Linked DNA regions of Drosophila melanogaster. The protein of the gene in region 2 interacts with the protein of the main gene of each other region in a pairwise test. Each region holds a gene or a part of one and is shown on either strand. Other genes may lie near its edges.

Region 1 (7,580 bases), on a different chromosome or scaffold from region 2:
AAACTTTTCAAGAAACAAGTGTTACCTCAACTCTTCTATTGAACTAAAAATAAAAATTAAAGTAAAAAATTGTTTTGACTTGGGCTCGTCCGGGATTTGAACCCGGGACCTCCCGCACCCTAAGCGGAAATCATACCCCTAGACCAACGAGCCAGTTGGACAACGGGGTCCAAGCCGCCAACTTCAGTCCATTGCAAGATCTCTTGGCGAGAAAACGATAGAGTTGGAGCTATTTGCTCCCCATTCAGAAACACACTATTTTTAACAAAAAGTTGCTGAGTTTGTTGTTGATTTGGTTTTTGTTTCGGTGTTCCGCTGCTTTTGCTGCCTTTCAAGTTGATTTTGCTTTTATGGCTGCCGTTCGGAGGCGCCGCGCGAGTGTTGACATCCAAAACAGATTGTTTAACATGGACAGCAGGGTAAAACAAAGAAATGCGTGGCATGTAAATAAATTAAATTTGGAACGACAGCAACAACAATCAAAACGCCCTACAAGCGCAGCTTTCAACGGAATCAAAACACGATTAAAAGTATCCAAAGTTCGGGGAAAACAGAGGAAGATATTAAATTTTCTATACTAAGCCTACTGAGGCGTTTCAATAAATGGTTTTTGCATACATGGTTTATTTTATTTGATTTCTGATTTCCTGCTCTTTTATTGCATTATTGTTTTGCTGAATATATAAAACATACCATTGGAGCACTCCCACTTCTTTGAAATGCTTTACAAAATTGAAATCCCTCAGCATTCTGAAATCAAGAACTCGCACTTCGCCACTTCATTTGACAACACTGATTGCTGAGTATTGATAAGTCTACCCCTTGGCAGCCCCGACCCTGCGGAATATCATATTCCCACATTTGTATTGGGGCCAAACGGCTGTGTTCGCAACGAATCAAAATCAAATCAGAAACAACATTCAAGTGGGTTGAAGGGGGAATGAAAACAGACATTGAAAGAATCCGCTGGAAATTGAAACAATTGAAAAAACGTTGTCGTTGATCGCTTGACAGTTGAATGCGATAATTTCAAATCGAATCAATTGAATATTGTCACAATTAATTTATTTATGAGATACACTCGAAATATCACCATTGATTTTCATTGTTGCTGTGGCTGATTGTTGCTTAAGTTTGAGTTGTCTGGTTGGTTTCAGATTTTGATATTTCTGAAGCATATTTTTTGTGAATAATGTTAGTCATTTCGCTTTGTCAGCGATTTTTTTATATGTACATACATACGTACATATGCACACATATTCATTTATATATGCATTTGAGTTGCTCATTGAATGGCAATTGATTTTTGTTATACACATTGTTGGTACAAATGTGATTTTTATTGATTTTTAATTTTCAGCTTGGGTGTTTTATGACTGTTGCCGGCGACTGTTTTATTAAGGCTTGCCCAATCAAGTTATTTACCCCACCCCTCGTGAAATTGAAATTTGCTTTTGATTTGATTTTTTAGGCTGAATACGAATCGCTGCATACAAATTGAGTGCGCTTAAAATGCAACAAGCAATGCAAATTAATAGTACTAATTTGAATTTCAAATGTGTTAGGTGAGATGGGGAAACCCAGATTTCTTCGAGTGCATCCAGAAAAAATTGAGAGCACATTAAAATACCTTTTGTCTAAAATAAAACTAATTAAAATATTTTTAAAGAATAACCTATAAGATTTTATTTATTTATTTGCCTAGAACCTTACATTTAATATCAATGATACTTATAAGAAGCAGTTCAATTCTCAGAATTAAAAACTCCTTTAGTCCCATTTCTAAGTAAGAACTATAAAATTAAGAGAATTAGACCTTGTTATGGTTTCCGGAATTTGCCACTCAGCCTTATGTAAATATAATTGAAAACCTAGTGGAGCATTATCAGCAATATTTATGACCCATATGTGAGCTAGCCAAACAGCGCAGATAACCGAAGCGAAATTATGGCCCAACAAAAAGTTTTCCAGCTGTAAAAGAGTTTGTTTCAAAAGAAAAGATTCGTGGTTTATGCTTCTAAAAATTGTTTTTTCTTGTATATTTCTCAGTTTTATACGAATGTGTTGCATGTAGTTTAAGTTATTTTTGTTTGATATTCCGTGGCTTCTTGTGTAGATCGTATTGTGGTTTGCGTACATCAAGGAGTAAATAGCAAATCTAGTTTATATTTATAGAATTTACACACAGTACATAATTATATGAAATATTCATTTTTATTTTTCGTAATTATTATTATTTTTTTTTAATTTTTTATCTCTGATTGGTTGGTATTACAAATATTCATTACACTTACTTTAAATATAAGTTGACTTAAAGAACATTATTTCAATTGTTGGTTTGTTGTATGCTTGCAGATAATCGTAATAATAGTTAATAGAACTTAAAGCGAAGTTAAACTAAAACAATGTTTGAACATCTCAGCAATGGGTTCTTCATTAACAAAATTGGAAGTTGTAGAATGTGTTCTGGCTAAGACTTAAAAAACTTTGGTTGAACTTTGAGAACAAATAAGAGTGAGTGAACTTCGTGTTGGCTGCACTTCTTTTTACCTAACAATGTAGACATTTACGATGATAGAAGAGAGTGATCCTGCTATTTTTGCGGCTACTACTGTTCTTTAGGTGGTTGATTATTTTCTGTTTGCGAAACTTAAGTGTAACTAGCGCTCTTTAAACTACAGTTTAGTATCACAGAATAGCGCAAAAGCCAGAGATGTGTCAGCCTTTGCAATCGTTTTGTGCTTTTATCTTTTTTGTTTTCCATGAAAGTATCTCAAACAGGGTTTGGAAATGGTTTCATTCTATATCTCTGGTTGTCTCTTCAACGTAATCCCCTTTTTTTTGGTATTTAACTCTTGTGGAAGTCACTTTACTGATGAGCCGCTCCCATCCTCTGGCCGTACATGGCGTATGGCGAGTAGTAGGGTCCCAGAGCAGCTGCCGCAGCCGCCGCGGCAGGATTGAATGCTCCAGCGGCGCCGAAGGGCGAAGGTCCTCCAGCCAAGGCGCCTGGTGGTGGCTTGGCGTATGGATGATACCTCGCCGCTGCCGCAGCCGCTGACATGGGACTCAGTGGTGGTGTTGGATAGCCAGCTCGGAGAGCCGATGGCGGAAATAGGGTTCCCAGCAGGGATTGAGCCTGCGATTGGGCCAAGGCCGCCGCAGCAGCCGCCGGATCGGAGAGATTGCCCGTATGGGTGCGCAGGTGGGAGAAGAGCTCGTCGGAGGTCTGGAATCGCTTGCCGCAGTAGGCATCGCCCACCACCCAACTGCACACGTAGGGTGCCGAACGGGCTGCCGCCGCGTTTGCCGCAGCAGCGGCCGCTGCCTGCGAGTATGGATGAGCTGGTGGCAGTCCGGCGGCACTGGCCATGGCCAGGCCGTATTTCTGATGCTCGCACTGGGTGCATCCGGCGGGGCAGGGGGCACCCATGAGCATTTGTTGCGTGTGCGCCGAGTAGGGACATCCCTGGCAATACGGATCCTTGCAGACTGGCACTATAGCCTCGCCGCCAGCTGGTGTCTTGATGCGCTGATAACTTATGTACGGATTGGGCTGTCCGGCTGGTCCACCGCCGGGAGCTCCGCCTGGATATCCTCCATTGGCGGCAACTGCCAACATGGCGGCGTGATGGTGTGAGAATCCTCCGGCAAACGGTGGCCGGAAAGCGGGATTGGCGTGCTGCTCCATTCCGGGCGGGCAGCACAGGGCGGACAGGGGATTCAGCCCATAGGGTCCGGCGGCCTTGTAAGCCGCTGCTGCTGCTGCTGCCGCCGCAGCCATGCTGCTCATTTCCTTGGGATGCTGGGCGGTTCCGTTGGCATTGTTCAGCACCTCCATGCCGGAGCGCACAATGGGACTGGCGCCGCGTTGCGACGATCCCGACGGGGAGACAGTCTTTCGGCTGGATGAGGAATCGTGCGCGGAAATCTCCGCCTTGCCGCCATCTGTGGGCGTGGCATTTGATTTGCTGCGCGATGGCACACGCTCCTGGGCGGATGAGGAGTTCTTAGAGCTGGGACGCGTGGGTTCCGCATCCAGCGAAGAGCTGCTCTTGAAGGAGTTCTGGTTCTGGTGGCTCAGCACATTGGTCTCGTAGGGCTTGAAGGCCAGTTTGATTTCACCGGTGCTGGTATTACTCAGACTTGCGCTGGTTGCCGTCGAGCTGATTGGAGTGCTCGACTTGGGCGATTTGGCCTGGCCGGAGGGTGACTTGGCTGCCGAGATCTCAGCACTGCCCGAGGAACTCGACGAGTTCGACGACGAGGAGCATGCTCCGGGCTTTGTCTTGTTCTTGTCCATTGCCAGCAGGGGTTTCACTGCCGACGAATCCGCTCCAATTTGGGAGCAAGTCTGTGCGAGCAGAGCCAAGGGACTCTTTTTGGCGTCCATCTGTTATGAATAAAATGAAAATGTGGAGTTGGAATTAGGTTTTTTGTAATTTTAAAGTTTTTTACGAGTTTTAAGATAATATTGATTTTAATTTGGTGAGAAGTTAAAACTATGAGAAAATGCAATTTCTTCCAAAGAAAGTTTGTTCGTGAAAGTATTAATGACGATATAAATTTTTAGATTTGAAAAATTGTTTGATGTTATGAACTTTCCAAATTTAATTCTTAAGTACGCAAAATTTAAAACCATAGATTTTACGGCCATCCCAAAATTTTACAGCTTTTAACTTAGTCAATACTAACCGTCGTTGGCAATGGGGCCAGATAATCCGGTTGAAGGTACTGGTTGTTACCGATGGTAACAACGCCGCCGCCTCCTTCCAAGACAACCATATCAGTTGCTTAGTGTGTTTTCTCGAGGGTAATCCACGTGAGTTGCGAGACAAGGCTACAAATGCGTAGCTTTGCTTCGGCGACGATGAGGTTAATCCACAGAAATGCGTCGGCAAACGTTGGTAAATCCAAAGAAAATCGGCGATTTAACACACTTGTAGTTTTGAGCAGAGAATTTATCTCTGTAGCACTATTTCAATTTGCTGGCCAAGCGATTTGTGTTTTGGCTCTGATTTCACTTTTTCACTCGAAACGAAACACTCTCGATCAGTGACCACAGTTGACTGAGGTTTCTTATTTTTGTTGGTTATATCTCTTGTCACTCGAATGGTTTTCAGGTTTTTCCGAACACGTCTGAACGCTGCGAAGTCAAAATTCGAATTGAATTCAACGACTGCGGCAGCGAGCGTAACTGCCCTCGCAGCGAAGCGTTCGCTCACTCGCGAGAGAGCGCTCTCCGGCGAGCAGCGCTGCACACTTTGGCTTGCTGCCTGCGTTAGAGGAGCACCGCCTGCTGCATGCGAGCGAGATGCACTGTGCGTAATTTTCAAATATGGCGTACTTTTTGTCCAATCACAATCGCATGCGCCTTGCAATGGAAGCCAAGACAGGTTTTCTCTCTCTCGCTCTCCGATTTGGCTTCCTGTAAAATCATAATAATATGGCTGCACCACGGCAACACTCGTCCAGAGAGCAACAGTTGAGCGCTGAGAGCGCCGCTCAGTGAGTTGTTGTTGTTGTGGCTGCTTTGGGGGGCACATTAATTTTATCTTGGCACATATGTCACGCTCACTCTCCCTCTCTGTGTCTCTCTGGGGGAACTTTTTCTTGATGGGGCTGTCAGCAGCAGCAGCGCTGCAGTGGTGGCGGCAGCGGCGCGGCAGAGGCCTCATTGTCTTCGCACCGAGATTTGTTGCTCGGAAAAGCAAACCACTCAACACTTAAACACACTCTTCAACCATTTCCATCGCCTCGCTTCGCTCGTTTTAATGTCATATAAAAATTAATTTGTTTGTCGCTCTCCCGCTCTGGCACTTCACCTCTCTCCCTCTGACCCGCTCACTCGCACAGCTGTTGTTGTGGCCTTTGTTTAGCGTTTTTCGATTAACTTCTGCGGTTGGTTTTCCCTCTTTTTTTTCGTGGCTCCTGTTTTGCTGTTTAAGTGGAAATCGTTGTTTTGTTGTCGCGTCGAAAAGTTTTTCCAAGCAATTTTTCCTCCTTCCTTGGTGTGTGTGTAATTAATCTGCACATATCAAACAAGCGAATGTGTGTTGTGGCATGTTGCACTCAGAGAGTTGGTAATAGTTTAATGGTTTGGTTAACTCCGCTGCATTTTTAATCGCTCTACAATTGGATTGAATTTTCCAGTTAGCACTTGCCTAACTTACTTATTTACGTTTCGCACGAAATCGCGTTAATCACGTTGCTTGGTTTCAAGATAATTACTGAATACTAATAATGTTTAATTGCAAAACGAGGCTGATTTATATTAAATTATTAAGAGCTAATAATAGGCTAGCTCCTTCTAAACATAATTGATTACTATTATTTAAGTAGTTAGAAAATATTATGTGACTAATCATTTAGATTTTGTTGATCTAGATCATTCTAGCCACTTTACCTAACCGATATTAAAACTCCAACGTAATCCCAACCAAATCGGTTGGACTAACCATAAACTATGTATCAAGATGTTTAACTCAAGCCCCGAGGGGATTTTGGAATATCTGGCCCTTGGGATATGTTACCTAATCACCAAGCTGAGTTTTAAGAACCCTTCAAAGCCCCTGGCAAGTAAATTAAAATCTGTATAAATATGGACGATAAGCCGAAAACCCAGAAGCGACACTTTTAATCCCGATTTAGAGTGTTTAGACATTTTTCTGTGGGAATCCCTAAGCCGAAACCCGGCAGCGAAATACCTTCGAGGCTAAAACAGGTAGAGGAAACACTCTCGGCCTTCGGCGAAATGATGGATTTATTAGTTAAGAGCGTGCTGCGATACTTTACGATACGGCTTAGACATAATTTGCGGTTTTGCGTGCAACAAAGCGAAAAAAGTGTTGCCAAAATAATGTATATACGTGTATATATGCATGTATACTGCTGCAGAGTTGGAGAGTTTACGCACACGTTCCATAGCATTTTCTCTTATTATTTGTTATTTTTTATGGCCACTTTGTCAGCGTCATAAATTCGCTGCTCCTGTATGTGAATTATTTACTAGCAAATTGCGGGAGTGGGCTGAAGGTAAATTCAAACCAGTGGCCGGGGGTGTCATATAAATAATACAAAAATATTATAAATTACACGAAGCCGAAGAAATTGCCAAGCGGAAGTGCGGAACACCTTGATACCGTGACTAAAGCGATTTGCTTTCAGACTAATGCTCACCCTGCAGCATTTCAGCGTTGATAACTTCATTTTATTCAAAAGGAGGTCGTGTAGCGAAGATTACAAATATAAAAAAAAGCGTAATTTAAATTACAAGGTACGCAGTTAAAGATGCAGCAGTTCTATTAGGTTAACAATAATAAGATCTGAAATAAAAAACTATATTGAGCTTCTAGTTATATAGTGCATCAGAGTCCTTTAAGACTAAAAATCTCGTTTTATGCAACTATAAGGAGTTTCGAATTCGAATACTCTCGATATCTTCGCCAAAGTTGTAAAGGAAAGCGCCGAGAGATATCCAAATGTAGTGGGAAAAATTTGTAGCCGCGAAAACATTTATATGGGGAATATAAAAAGGAAGTATACTGGATGCCACAACAACAACTACAACAACAAGAGCA
Region 2 (5,144 bases):
GGTGGTGGTCTTCGGTCCGGGAATGGCACGGTAGGTGGGTGCAAAGGGCACCGCCTCCAGGACGGGCGGCAGCACTTGATGGGTGACACTGGGCACATGGAACTCGGGCAAAAGAGGAGTAGGAGCTGGCAGAAAAGCTGGAGCTGGTAGAAGTGGTGCAGGTGCTGGTAGAAGTGGTGCAGGAGCGGGCAGAAGAGGAGCAGGAGCCGGTAAAAATGGTGCAAGAGCAGGTAAGAGAGGCGCTGGAGCAAATACAGGTTGTGGTGGAGCAAATGCTGGTGGTGGAGCCACCGCAGGAAGCAAAGGAGCTGGCGGAGGAAGGACCGATTCCTGCACCGCGTAATCCAAGTGGTGCGGCAGAGCATGCAGAGAATCCAAGTGGCTCAGATGATGTCCGTCAAAGTGGTTGACATGGTGGGGATCGAAGTGATTGTAGTGAAGATGAGAGGGCTTTGCCTCACCACCCACCAGCAGGAAAGCCAATGCAAAGGCCTAAAAATATTTAGGTTACCTATTAATATCTTTGGTCAAAAGAACTTTGCAGTCCTTACCCATGTCAGTTGCCACATCTTGCTTGGGGGATTTGAAGTTCGGTTTCTTTGGGGCAGTAGCTTCTCGATCGATGTGCTCGACCTGTTGGTTCGGCTGCTAATGTCTTTGCATTGTCAAATTAAATTAATATTTATAGCGAATTGAAGGCGGTACGCAATCAAAAGACTTGCACTTGCATTTCTTCACTTTCGACGACGACTTGGCCCACTCACCTAACTTAATGGGTTGCATCATTTGGAGGGAGGCAACCCAATCCCATTTAGTTGGTCAGCAAGTCGTGACTGAGACGGCGACTGCGAATGGCACTGCCTTCGATCGAGGGGCCAATAACTTCTTGGGCGATTCGAAAGCACGGCCCATGATTATATAACATGGGGCCAACCAAGCCCAGGCATTGACAGTTGCCCATGAGTGGAATATGATTATGATAATCCATAAATATTGCTTTGACCATAAATAACAATCGATATTGCGCCTTAGGTGACAACGCAATCACAACAAATATTGTTTACATGGTGACCAAGTTGTCTGACTTTAACTTCCCTAAGTCCCTAACTTATGTATGTTGCTACTTTGTCAATATTATCTTTAAAATTCAATGCAGCTGTTAGAAAAAATTCCATTAAAAATTAAATGCAGACCTATAATTTATGCATAATTTGTATTAAATGATATCCACCAATAAACAAGCTTATTTTGCATATCAAAGAAATGAGTGAGAAACGAGAAATTCAGAGCATTAAATGGAAAGTTCTAAAGTTTCTAAAAAAAAATTAAATAACTTCCTCTATCTGAAATCTGGAAATATATGGATGCTTAATAAAACCACTTGCACAAAAGGAATCATCTAATCAAAAATTGATCATAGTTAAGTAAAGAAGTTATTTTATATTTTCTTAAGAAATATATATATATTGACCCAATCGAAATGAGCGTCCAATTGAATTTTCATGAACCAAAAATATCCGATAAATAATAGTACTTTCGTTTTTCGTTAATTATTCAAGGCATTTCTGCAAATAATAAGATGGTGCGCTCTAATTGTTGGTTCGTAATTTATTATCAGTTTTTTTTTTTGTTTATCAAAAATTTCCTATAGTTTGGCCTGCTTCACAGGTGTGTCCTTAGACCACCACTGGAGCTGGAGCAGCAGCGGCGATGGGAGCAGCATAGGATGCAGCGTAGGGAGCGGCGTAGGGAGATGCCAGGTAGGGTGCAGCGTAGGGCGAGGCATAGGGATAGGCGGAGTAGGCAGCGGCGGCATAGGGAGCAGCGGCCAGAGGAGCAGCAACGGGAGCAGCGGCCAGAGGAGCAGCGACGGGAGCAGCCAGAGGAGCAGAGTAGGCGGCGGCCAGAGGAGCAGCAGCGTACTTGGCCACCACGGCGGGGGCAGCTGGGATTCCGGACACATAGCGGCTGGAGTAGGGGCCGGCGAACTCGAACGGAGCGGTGGTGTAGGAGGACAGGGTGCCGTCGTAGTTGTTGCGGACATCCACCTGGCTGCTGCCACCTGCGGCGTACAGAGGAGCATTAGCGTAGGCCAGGGGAGCAGCCAGAGGAGCAGCCAGTGGAGCTACAACTCCTGGTTTGGCCGCAGAGCAGGCGATGAGGGCAGCGAGAACCAACTGGAAAATAGGATAGGTAATCATTAACCACCTCTTAGTCCACATTGTTTGGGCGCTAATCCCCATAGGATCACTTACAAACTTGTACATATTGCTGTGGTTGGGTTTGTCTAAAGCACTTGAGCGATAATGTTCATTTGGAGCCAGACCAGTGGCTTATATAGCTCGTGCCCATATCCGTGCTCTTTGGGGGACATTCTGTCTGAGCCGATTTTTGGTCGCTTCTTCATTAGCTGGCCCACCTGGTCGAGTGCCAAGTAGCATACATGATCGCCATTTGGCCAAGACGTGCTCCGCCTTCAATTGCCCAATGGACTGTCGGAAGTTGTCCAAGTTGTCGCTTGAATATTTCGGTTGCACTTGGAAAAATATTTGAGCTTTGGTAAATATTATAAGAAAAGATATGATATAATTCTGATTTCAATGTATAAATATTTTATTTAAAATTTTTAACCTTAACTATTTAGTGCAGTGTATTTACATGCAGAGGTAAACTTTTTGTATAGCATACCAAGTTATAGTCTTTATAAAAATTTTTCCAAGTGCAGTGATCGACATTTGTATGCAATTGAAGACTGACTCGGTGGCCGGGCTGTCTTGTCGTAATTTGCAGTCTGTTTGGGCCATCAATGTGCGCCGCTTCGCATTGAATTGGCCGCAATCTAAGTCAAATTGGCCATAAAAATGGTACCCCTTCCTCAAAGGCCACGATTCCGGCCCACTAAGTGTCTCATTAGTTCACTTTTTAATGGCTTGCAGAGACGCCAATAAAAGGCGGTCGTAAATTTCCCTCTCATCCTAGCCGACGGGTCTTCATTTGTTTTCGTGTTGACCTGACCTTGACGCCACCTGGCCACAGGATGTGATGCACCCTCATCCTCATCCAGTGGGTCTCATCAATTCGCTTCAGCTTAATTGGCCAACAAGGCGCGGGGCCGAATGATCGAGCAGTCGAAACCTGCTTGCTAGCTGACTTAATGAGCCATCTCTCTCGGTCTCTCTCGGTCACGTGCTGGCCTGGTCAGCAGCATCGTCGTCATCTGATGGCTTGGTGTCTGCGATTTGCATTGTTTTACTCTTTATGATCGGGTACTTTTGCTACTTATGAATGTTTGTAAATTAGCATATTTTAGTGTCAATGACTTGGTAGAACAACCCATTAGGAGCATGATTTCAAAGAGCGAGTTTATGAAAAATCGAAGTTTTTCTGTAGTACAGTCACAAAATATTATACTCATACCGCTTACTAACAAATCGTATAGAGTATCTAAATGGTCGTTATTTTATAGCTGCTTCTGAAATCCGATACGATGATGACGCCGGTCTCAAGGTTGTCGCGATGACGAGTCGAGAGGGCGATATATATATATGTATATAAATGATATCTGGTGATCAAGTTGCCCCACGCATGTAACTGTATACTTTTCCATATATTCTGTATTCTGTATCCGCATTGTGGCCACTTTTGATCGGATTGATCCAATCTTGGCAGCAACCACAGCTAGTACATTCCAACTCCAAGGGTGACCTCTTCTCGTTCACTTGTTCACAATTTCTGGACAGGAATTCTCAACCGATGACGCGCCAATTTTCCGGTGACTCAAGCACGGAAATGAGTACATCTTTAACCATCTTCATCTTCATCTTCATAGACCATCGCCATCAACTTCTTGTCTTCAGCACTCCACTTCACAGCTGTGCGATCCGCTCACTTCCTAGTTAACCTTTTAAATTTATTTGCAATCTGATTTAGAGGCTCATCAGAAGCTTTATCCCTCTTAGGAATTGTTTGGCTGTCGTCAGTACCGTTTGCTTTAATTGATTTTTAAGCCCCAAATTTATGCAGACCATATTTCTAATTCCCGTTTTTGTTTTCGCGGGAAGCAGGTTCTATACGGCAGGCATAAATATGTCTAGATATATAGATAGATCCAGATCCCAGTTCCCAGTTCCGTTCCCAGATCTGATCAATGACACTTGACTTTAATTGGCTTTCATAAATATACGTCAAAAGTTAGTCGTTGTCTCGATTTCTTTTGTTTTCACAAGAGAATTCCGAATGCCAATGCCAAGTTTGAGGTCTCATTATGAGGCGCGGATGGAGATGGAGATCTCTTGGCCCGATTTGTGTGTATGTAAATAGCAACCATTAACCCATCGTAGGAGAGTGAAAGGTGTAAATCCAATGGACGAAGACCTCTTTTTTTTTTGTGTGTGCCCGCGTATTAACCTTCAAAACATTATGCAAATGCAGTCTCCATCGATGGCAATGAGACTAAAAATGGCCAATAAAAAGAGACTCAACCGAAAGGCTAAGCTTAGATGGCAAGTTTATTATCAATGTGTATTCACTAAGAGCAGAAGTCATCGCAGTTTGATGATCAGTCGGGATGGCTCTGGCTCTATTAAATGTATTGCTATTGCTATTCTATGGGCTAGGATTGCTGGACTAGCGCCTCTGGATCTGCGGTGTTCCATAGGAGGTTAGCCCCGTGGTTCTGGGCACACTGGCATATGGTGCCCCAGCCTGCAGCGGAAGTTGCGCCACATTCAGTGGAGCAATGCCAAAGGGCACTGGCAGCTTGAGATTCAGCGAGTTGGCATCCACGGAAGCGGAGGATATGGAACGACCTGTGGCCGATCCCGCAGCAGATGATACTCTGGCCACCTGCTGGGGCTGTGGTGCCGGGGGAGCCACCTGGAGGGCAGACGACGGTGCTCCAAATACGTAACCCTGGCTGGTCAGAGCCTGGGTGAAGGCGGCATGCTCCAAGGCGGGCTCGGCAAACTGTCGTGCCACTTGGGGATACTGCTGGTTCTGTTGGTACTGGTTCCTCTGGCTCCGCTGCACGGCTGGCCTGTTGGGAGCGGGATAGTGATAGTAACCCAGCTGGGTGCTGGGTGCTATCGAGTAATCCAGGTGTGAGACATCGGCCAGAGCCAAGCTCATGAGTTGCAGCAGAGTAA
Region 3 (6,645 bases), on a different chromosome or scaffold from region 2:
GGACTTCGACCGCAAGAACTGGGACGATCCCTTCCAGGTGTCCCACTACGCCATGGATATATTCAACTACCTCAAAGTGCGCGAAGCGGAATTCCCCATTGCCGACTATATGCCCAGGCAGATCCATCTGACCACCTGGATGCGCACCCTGTTGGTCGACTGGATGGTGGAGGTGCAGGAAACGTTCGAGCTGAACCACGAGACTCTGTACCTAGCGGTTAAGATCGTCGATCTGTATCTCTGCCGCGAGGTGATCAACAAAGAGAAGCTGCAACTTCTGGGCGCCGCTGCCTTCTTTATTGCCTGCAAGTACGATGAGCGACAGCCGCCGCTTATAGAGGATTTTTTGTATATCTGCGATGGTGCTTATAATCACGACGAGCTGGTGCGAATGGAGCGGGAGACGCTGCGCGTTATCAAGTACGATCTGGGCATCCCGCTCTCGTACCGTTTCCTGCGCCGCTATGCCCGATGCGCCAAGGTGCCTATGCCCACGCTGACCCTGGCTCGATACATCCTGGAATTGTCGCTCATGGATTACGCCAATATTTCGTTCAGTGACTCGCAGATGGCTTCGGCCGCACTGTTCATGGCACTGCGTATGCACGGCGGTCCGGGGCAGCTGGACAAGCAGACGTGGACATCGACGCTTATCTACTACACCGGCTATCAATTGGCGGACTTTGCTGAAATTGTGACCGCGCTCAATGCAGGACTGCATCGCAAGCCACGGGCCACCATCAAGACGATACGGAACAAGTACTCGCACAAAATATTCCACGAGGTGGCCAAGGTGCCGCTGCTGACGAACCAGGAGCTCTTCCAGGGCAACCTTGACCTGAACGAAAGCAATCTGTCGTAGGACAGCCTCAAAGTTTAGCCAAATTCAACATGATACGATACGCTTCACTTAGGCTCTAAGACGCTTCTATTCCCAATATTAGCCCCATCCCGACGAAACAGCGGATCCCCGCCTTAATCTAAAAACCCCTGATTTTACCCCTTACCTAGTGTTCCCGTCAAGTCCTCGCAATTTATTATATTTTAATTATTATTGTGACCTTCGCATTATTGACATGTTTTTTGCATAAATATTATGTTAAGAGTGCTTTTGTTTCTTTTTGCCATGTATTATTGTTTAATTTTCCCACATACCGCATACGTAGCCGAACACAATCAATCTAAACTCGAAAGGCGACATTATCTTTAGCACCCCCACCCAAAAAATCCCAAAACGATTCATGTTTTAATATGTACGTTAGTCTTAAGAGATGCCAGCATTAAATAAACCTAACTCGTAAGCCACCAAAGCAGACACGGATCCCCACTAACTTATTCTACACAGATACACAAACGCAAGGATACGAAGCGACTATGAAAGGCACGTGTGTCCCGTACAACCTGGAAATGCGCTGCGATCAACCCTCGTCCCGTGCACGCCATGTACGCCATGTGCATCTGTTCCTGTCGTCGTTATTAATGCTGTTATTTGTTAAGTCGTTCATGGACTCCCCTCCTTGCGCTCACATTCCCGCCCCTCGAAGGACGCTCACCATCAACTTCCCAGTTCCTGATCATACCGCCCCGCCCCGCCCTGCCTCAGTTCACCTCGTTTATCCATGGATGGTTGATAACGTTGCATTGTTGAAGTAACTAGTTATGTATGTACTCAGTGTTATGTATGTATCGTTTTGCGAGAGAATACCAATAAACATTTTTACGTCCGTTCAAAAATACTTCAATCTTTTTACCATCATTACATTCGGAAAACGGTGGGCGAAGTGAAAAAATTCTTACTTTTAATAGGGTAAGTGCAATAAATTCGTATTTTTATTTTTCTTTCTAGAAAACTCTTTTAAAAACCTGATGGAAGTTTCAAAATCGGGTGAGTATTAACTCAGATATAACTAGTTGAATGCAATTGTAGTATCATTAGTGTTTATGTTTACTTTAAATAAGTATTTTAAATTAGCTGTCTTTATCCAGCATGTTGGAAATGATCCTAGTTCCTAGGGGATTAAATAATTTAGGGCATTATTTTCAATTTCCTAGAATCTGGAATGTATGTATTTGTTGCAGTTCAATCTTTAATTGTTAGAAACAGAGCATAAACTCCTAGATGTCAAAGGTTAAGGGAAAACGTTTAGCACATCTAGACTTCTTTGCCGTGAGTATACCCATTACCCCACCCATTCTAATTCCTTTGTTTCGAATCCTCTCAGCTGAATCTGTGCTCCTTTCTCCGCGCTCATCATAGAACAGCTGATGGCTGATGACCTAAGGACATCAAACCCTGGCTGGAATCGGTTCGATTTGCTACAGGTAAAAACCACCGATACCGTCCGTCCAAATCATTCATAATCCATGAGTGTAAGTGTCTGTCTGTATACTCGTAGTCTGTATACCCCGGGCATGATTCTCTCGAGTTTCCTGCGGTTCCTTGCTTTTGGCGCGCTCGTCCGTCATTTTAGCGCCAAAAATTTGTTAAGGATTTGCGCGGCAGGCTGCGCATGCGCCGCAAGACATCAAGACGTCGTCCCTTGGTTGGGTTCCTTTCCTTTCCTTCGGCCCTCTCTTTTCCGCTGCACAGCGAAACCCAGCCGATTTATGTCGCTGCAGTTGGGTCCAGCGAAGGGCACCAGGAGTACCAATACCAGTAACAGCGTCTCTCTCTGACGCTGATTTTCTACCACCACCTTTGGCTCGCCCAGAGTCCTGCCTTTGTGCGTTCCCTTTTTTTCGGCTGCCTGCCAGCCAGGTAGCTCCTGTCGTCTTCGATTGTGTCCACGCCGGATAAAAGAAGCGGCATTGCCATAAGAATAAGGAAAAGAATAAGGATGGGATGTGAATGTCTTGGGTTAGCTGTCTGTATGGGAGCAGAATGCCGAGTGCATGTGCTTTATTTTTTCCGGTTCAAGGTGCAACTGGTAACTGGCCAGCATTGCTAATTATCTTGGTTGGGTGTGCAGAAATCAAGTTTATTTCGCAGGGACACACAGGATGATAGGCAAAGACAGCTGCCTCTGGCCAAGGAGGCAGCAGCGAAGTTATGACTACGACTCGGATTACTTCACGCCCCACCAACACCATTACCACTACCACCACCACCGAGGTCCACCCATGATGTCGGCCAGCTTCAGTAGGCCGGCGAGTTGAAGGCACCGTTGTATCCGCCCCCATATCCACTGCCATAGCCAAAGGCATTGTGATTGTTCAGCACTCCAAATGGTCCCTTGTGGACGCCATCCTCCTTGTACTCGGTGTTCATCGAGAAATGATGGTCCCAATGGCTCGGATCAGCGGGATTGTGAGCCGGATAGCGATGATAGTTCATGCCGCTGGTGGCAGGAGCCTGACCAGCTGCTCCGGGCACTCCTGCCACTCCAGGTGCTCCCGGAACTCCAGCTACTCCAGGAACTCCTGGTTGAGCCACAGCTCCGGGTAGCACTCCATAGGCGGGGAACTGGGCTGGTTGAGGGTACGCTGGGTACTGTGGCAAGTATACTCCGGGGTAGGGATAGCCAGGATAGGCACCAGTTCCCGGGAAGTAACCAGGTGCTCCTGCACCCACTGGCTGCTGGGGAGGAACTCCCACCGGATACTGAGCAGGAACTGCTCCAGCAACAGGATAGCCAGGAGGAGAAACAGCACCTAAAAAGGGGACATTTCATTAATATCATAATTTCATATATATTTCAAAATGTGGATTTGCTATTCACCAATCTTTTAAATTTTGTATAACTTTTTTGGGAGTTAAGACTTGATATTAGTTTTCTGATTTCACTAAGATAAATGAACCACCTATTAGAAGGACCTACCTGCACTTTGGTAACCACCGGATGATGAGGATCCTCCTGAAGAGCCTCCTGCAGCTGGGTACGGAACTGGAGCCTGTTGTCCAGGAAAACCCGGAGGCGGATAAGCGGGAATCTGGTGACCTCCTGTAATTGTGAGTGCCGGATTTGGTGACTGGTTGCCAGGAAAAACAACGGAGTTCGTACTGGCCACTCGTACGCCAGAGCCACCCTGCTCATGGCCATGGGCATCGTCGATGGATCCAGTTGCGCCCGCATAACCCGATCCCAGCTGACCAAGGCCAGGATAAAGTTGCGAATTGAGATTGGCCCGCTGGCGATGGCGACTGCTGGTAATGCCTCCCGTCAGAGTGGAGGCCAGGTTAAACTCCGTCTTCTGATCCTCCTGACTTTCGTCCCTGCTGAATTGCGAGGCCTGACCGCTGGCTATCTGGATGAGGGCCAGAGCGGCGAATGCGATGACCCTCCTGCTTAACATGGCGTCTTTGGGTACACTAAAGCCCAGAAGCTCACGGCGCGTGTATTTCATGGTGAGATCTGATGACACGAGAGCTTAGCTGAGTGTCTATTTTTGGGGTTATCATCAGGGGCTCAATGCCCAGATATGTAGTTTAAGTCTCATTGAGTGTTCTTTCTAGTAAATTGAATGAGAGAGTCTACACTGAAAGCAAAAGTTGAAAATATAACACAACAATGTGCATATGCATAGATACTAGCCATAAATTTGAACAAATAAATGAATTTTTTAAAGAAATACCCATATACAAATTTATAAATATAAATGTTATATATAAATTTCTTGCAATGTATAAATTTGCGGCCTAAAGCCAAGTAATAGATAAGTTGAGACGCATTTTTGGTTTAGGGATTTCCCAAGCAATTCATAACTCATCTTTGCATAGATGATGATCATGAGTTATGATCCTCCCTTTATATAGAGAACGAAAGCTTTCCCAGTCAACCTTGTTTACCAGTCAATAGATTAGTATTATAAGTACATATGTACATATAGCATTTGTTCCATTACCCAAGGTTCTTCCACTCGATTCCATTCATCTTTCTTATCGCCATGTGCTGCTGCTGGCTATAAAAGCCGCATGGACATTGGGACTATCAGCAAAATTGCTCTACATATCCCAAGATGCAGTTGTTGGCTGCGATTCTAGTGCTAATCCTGGCCAGCTTGGCCCACGGTAGACCCACTTTCGATAAGATTGCGGAGCTTCTGTTCGGCGACCCAAATCATTATCCGCCAGCAAGGCCAGTTGATCCACAGCTACATCCTGGACCAGGTCCACTCATCCAGGAGGGCTACGAGCAGGGCTACGACTATCACTATGGTGGAGGCTACGGCTACGGTGGTAGCCACCAGCAGACGCATCCAGGTGGCTATGCCTATTACCCACCACGACCGGTTCCGGCAGCAAATGACTACTATCCACCACCTTGGTCAGTGCGTCCTTCGCCTGGATACTACTCTCAGCCGTCTCATCCTGCCAGTGTCCATTATCCGCACAAGAATCAGGATCTTTACGGAGGTGGAGGTGGTTACAAGCAGCGGGGTTACTAACGTTCATCCGTCAGATACCCCAGTCTCATCCAATCATGTGCTGTCTCATTTGTTTATGTGTAATTTATTAAAATTTCGTTTATTTCCAACGAGCTTTTAGAACCTGTTTTGAACTTATGACAAAGACGATCTCGGGTGGAGCAATTGAACAATGGTCTACGAATATATATACAACAAGTGTGAATCGGGGAACTCCCTCTTAGAAGATTCATCTTCGTCTCACATCAATGGGAATTGAGGGAACCTCCGGGTTTGGCACATGGATATATTTGCTAGAGCTGGGGAATATAATAGCACGATTTTCGGAGAGTTCGTCCAATGGTTTTGGCAATGGCTCCGGCACGATCCAAGTGGGAAAAGTGGGCGTGGGTGGATCCGGATTATGGGGCGGCACCAACGGCGGTCGATTGGTTCCTATTATGAGCGTATCCTTCGTTGGCTGAGCGGTTGGACGTGGCTGGATCGTGGGAAAGGTGGGCTCTGGCTTAGGTGTTGTCGTTGGAAAGATGGGTCCTGGTATTGGCGTTTGTGGAGTGGTGCTAGACTCATTATCTGGATTCCAATTCGTGTTTGGATCATTGGGATCCGGCTGATCGGGGAGGCGTGGATAGTTATCCCATTCCTGTTCCATCCCTCCATTCCAGCCTGGCCTTGGTGGCGGAGGTCCTCCGCCATTCCATCCTGGCCTTGGTGGCGGTGGCCCTCCTCCATTCCAGCCTGGCATCGGTGGTGGTGGCCCGCCGCCGTTCCATCCTGGTCTTGGCGGCGGTGGTCCGCCGCCGTTAAAACCTGGTCTTGGTGGAGGTCCTCTTCCACCGCCTCCGTTCCATCCTGGACCATTCCATCCTGGTCCTTGCCCTCCACCTCCATTCCAGCCTGGTGCAAATCCTGTTTGAACCCAGTCAAATCCGGGTTGATTCTGATTTCCACCGGCTCCCCACTGCCAGCCGGGTGGCCAGCCAGGAGGCGTCGGTTGCTGACGGTTGGGTGGTGCAAATCCTGGTCTGTGCATTCCTCCTCGATTCGGACCCATCCCCGGCCTTCCTTGCTGCAGTCTCTCGAACTGCGGCTGCTGGTTGAAGCGGTTGTTGTTGTGCATGGCATTGATCAGTCCATTGATAACTCCGAAACCGGGCAGCTGGGCCACCACAGTGACGCCACCGGCGGAGGCAACAGCTCCGCCGGCGGAGGACGAGGAGACTGCAAATTGCGCGAGACACGTGCGTATCCAGATGGATGCCAAAAGCCAGACGAGCCAGG

What was found. Proteins that work in one complex are often made in the same cells at the same time.
Region 1: the proteins of CG13047 (region 2) and noc interact in a two-hybrid assay, tested with the Drosophila melanogaster proteins (one large-scale study listed by BioGRID).
Region 3: the proteins of CG13047 (region 2) and Elal interact in a two-hybrid assay, tested with the Drosophila melanogaster proteins (one large-scale study listed by BioGRID).

What each region holds. Positions count from the first base shown.
Region 1 is NT_033779.5:14,488,451-14,496,030, reverse strand, and holds noc (no ocelli), read right to left. Parts: upstream 5,173-7,580; 5' UTR 4,786-5,172; coding exon 4,696-4,785; intron 4,394-4,695; coding exon 2,870-4,393; 3' UTR 2,012-2,869; downstream 1-2,011. UniProt on the Drosophila melanogaster protein: May negatively regulate Notch-induced cell proliferation in the eye-head primordium. Required for development of the supraesophageal ganglion and ocelli.
Region 2 is NT_037436.4:16,283,089-16,288,232, forward strand, and holds CG13047 (uncharacterized protein), read right to left. Parts: upstream 2,309-5,144; 5' UTR 2,268-2,308; coding exon 2,256-2,267; intron 2,178-2,255; coding exon 1,677-2,177; 3' UTR 1,592-1,676; downstream 1-1,591. Other genes in the region: CG13048 (uncharacterized protein), read right to left, coding at 1-492, 552-569; CG13046 (uncharacterized protein), read right to left, coding at 4,627-5,144.
Region 3 is NT_033777.3:24,863,018-24,869,662, reverse strand, and holds Elal (Elastin-like), read right to left. Parts: upstream 4,314-6,645; 5' UTR 4,294-4,313; coding exon 3,819-4,293; intron 3,652-3,818; coding exon 3,137-3,651; 3' UTR 2,012-3,136; downstream 1-2,011. Other genes in the region: CycB3 (cyclin B3), read left to right, coding at 1-862; Srg1 (Sting-regulated gene 1), read left to right, coding at 4,957-5,385; CG7016 (uncharacterized protein), read right to left, coding at 5,594-6,645.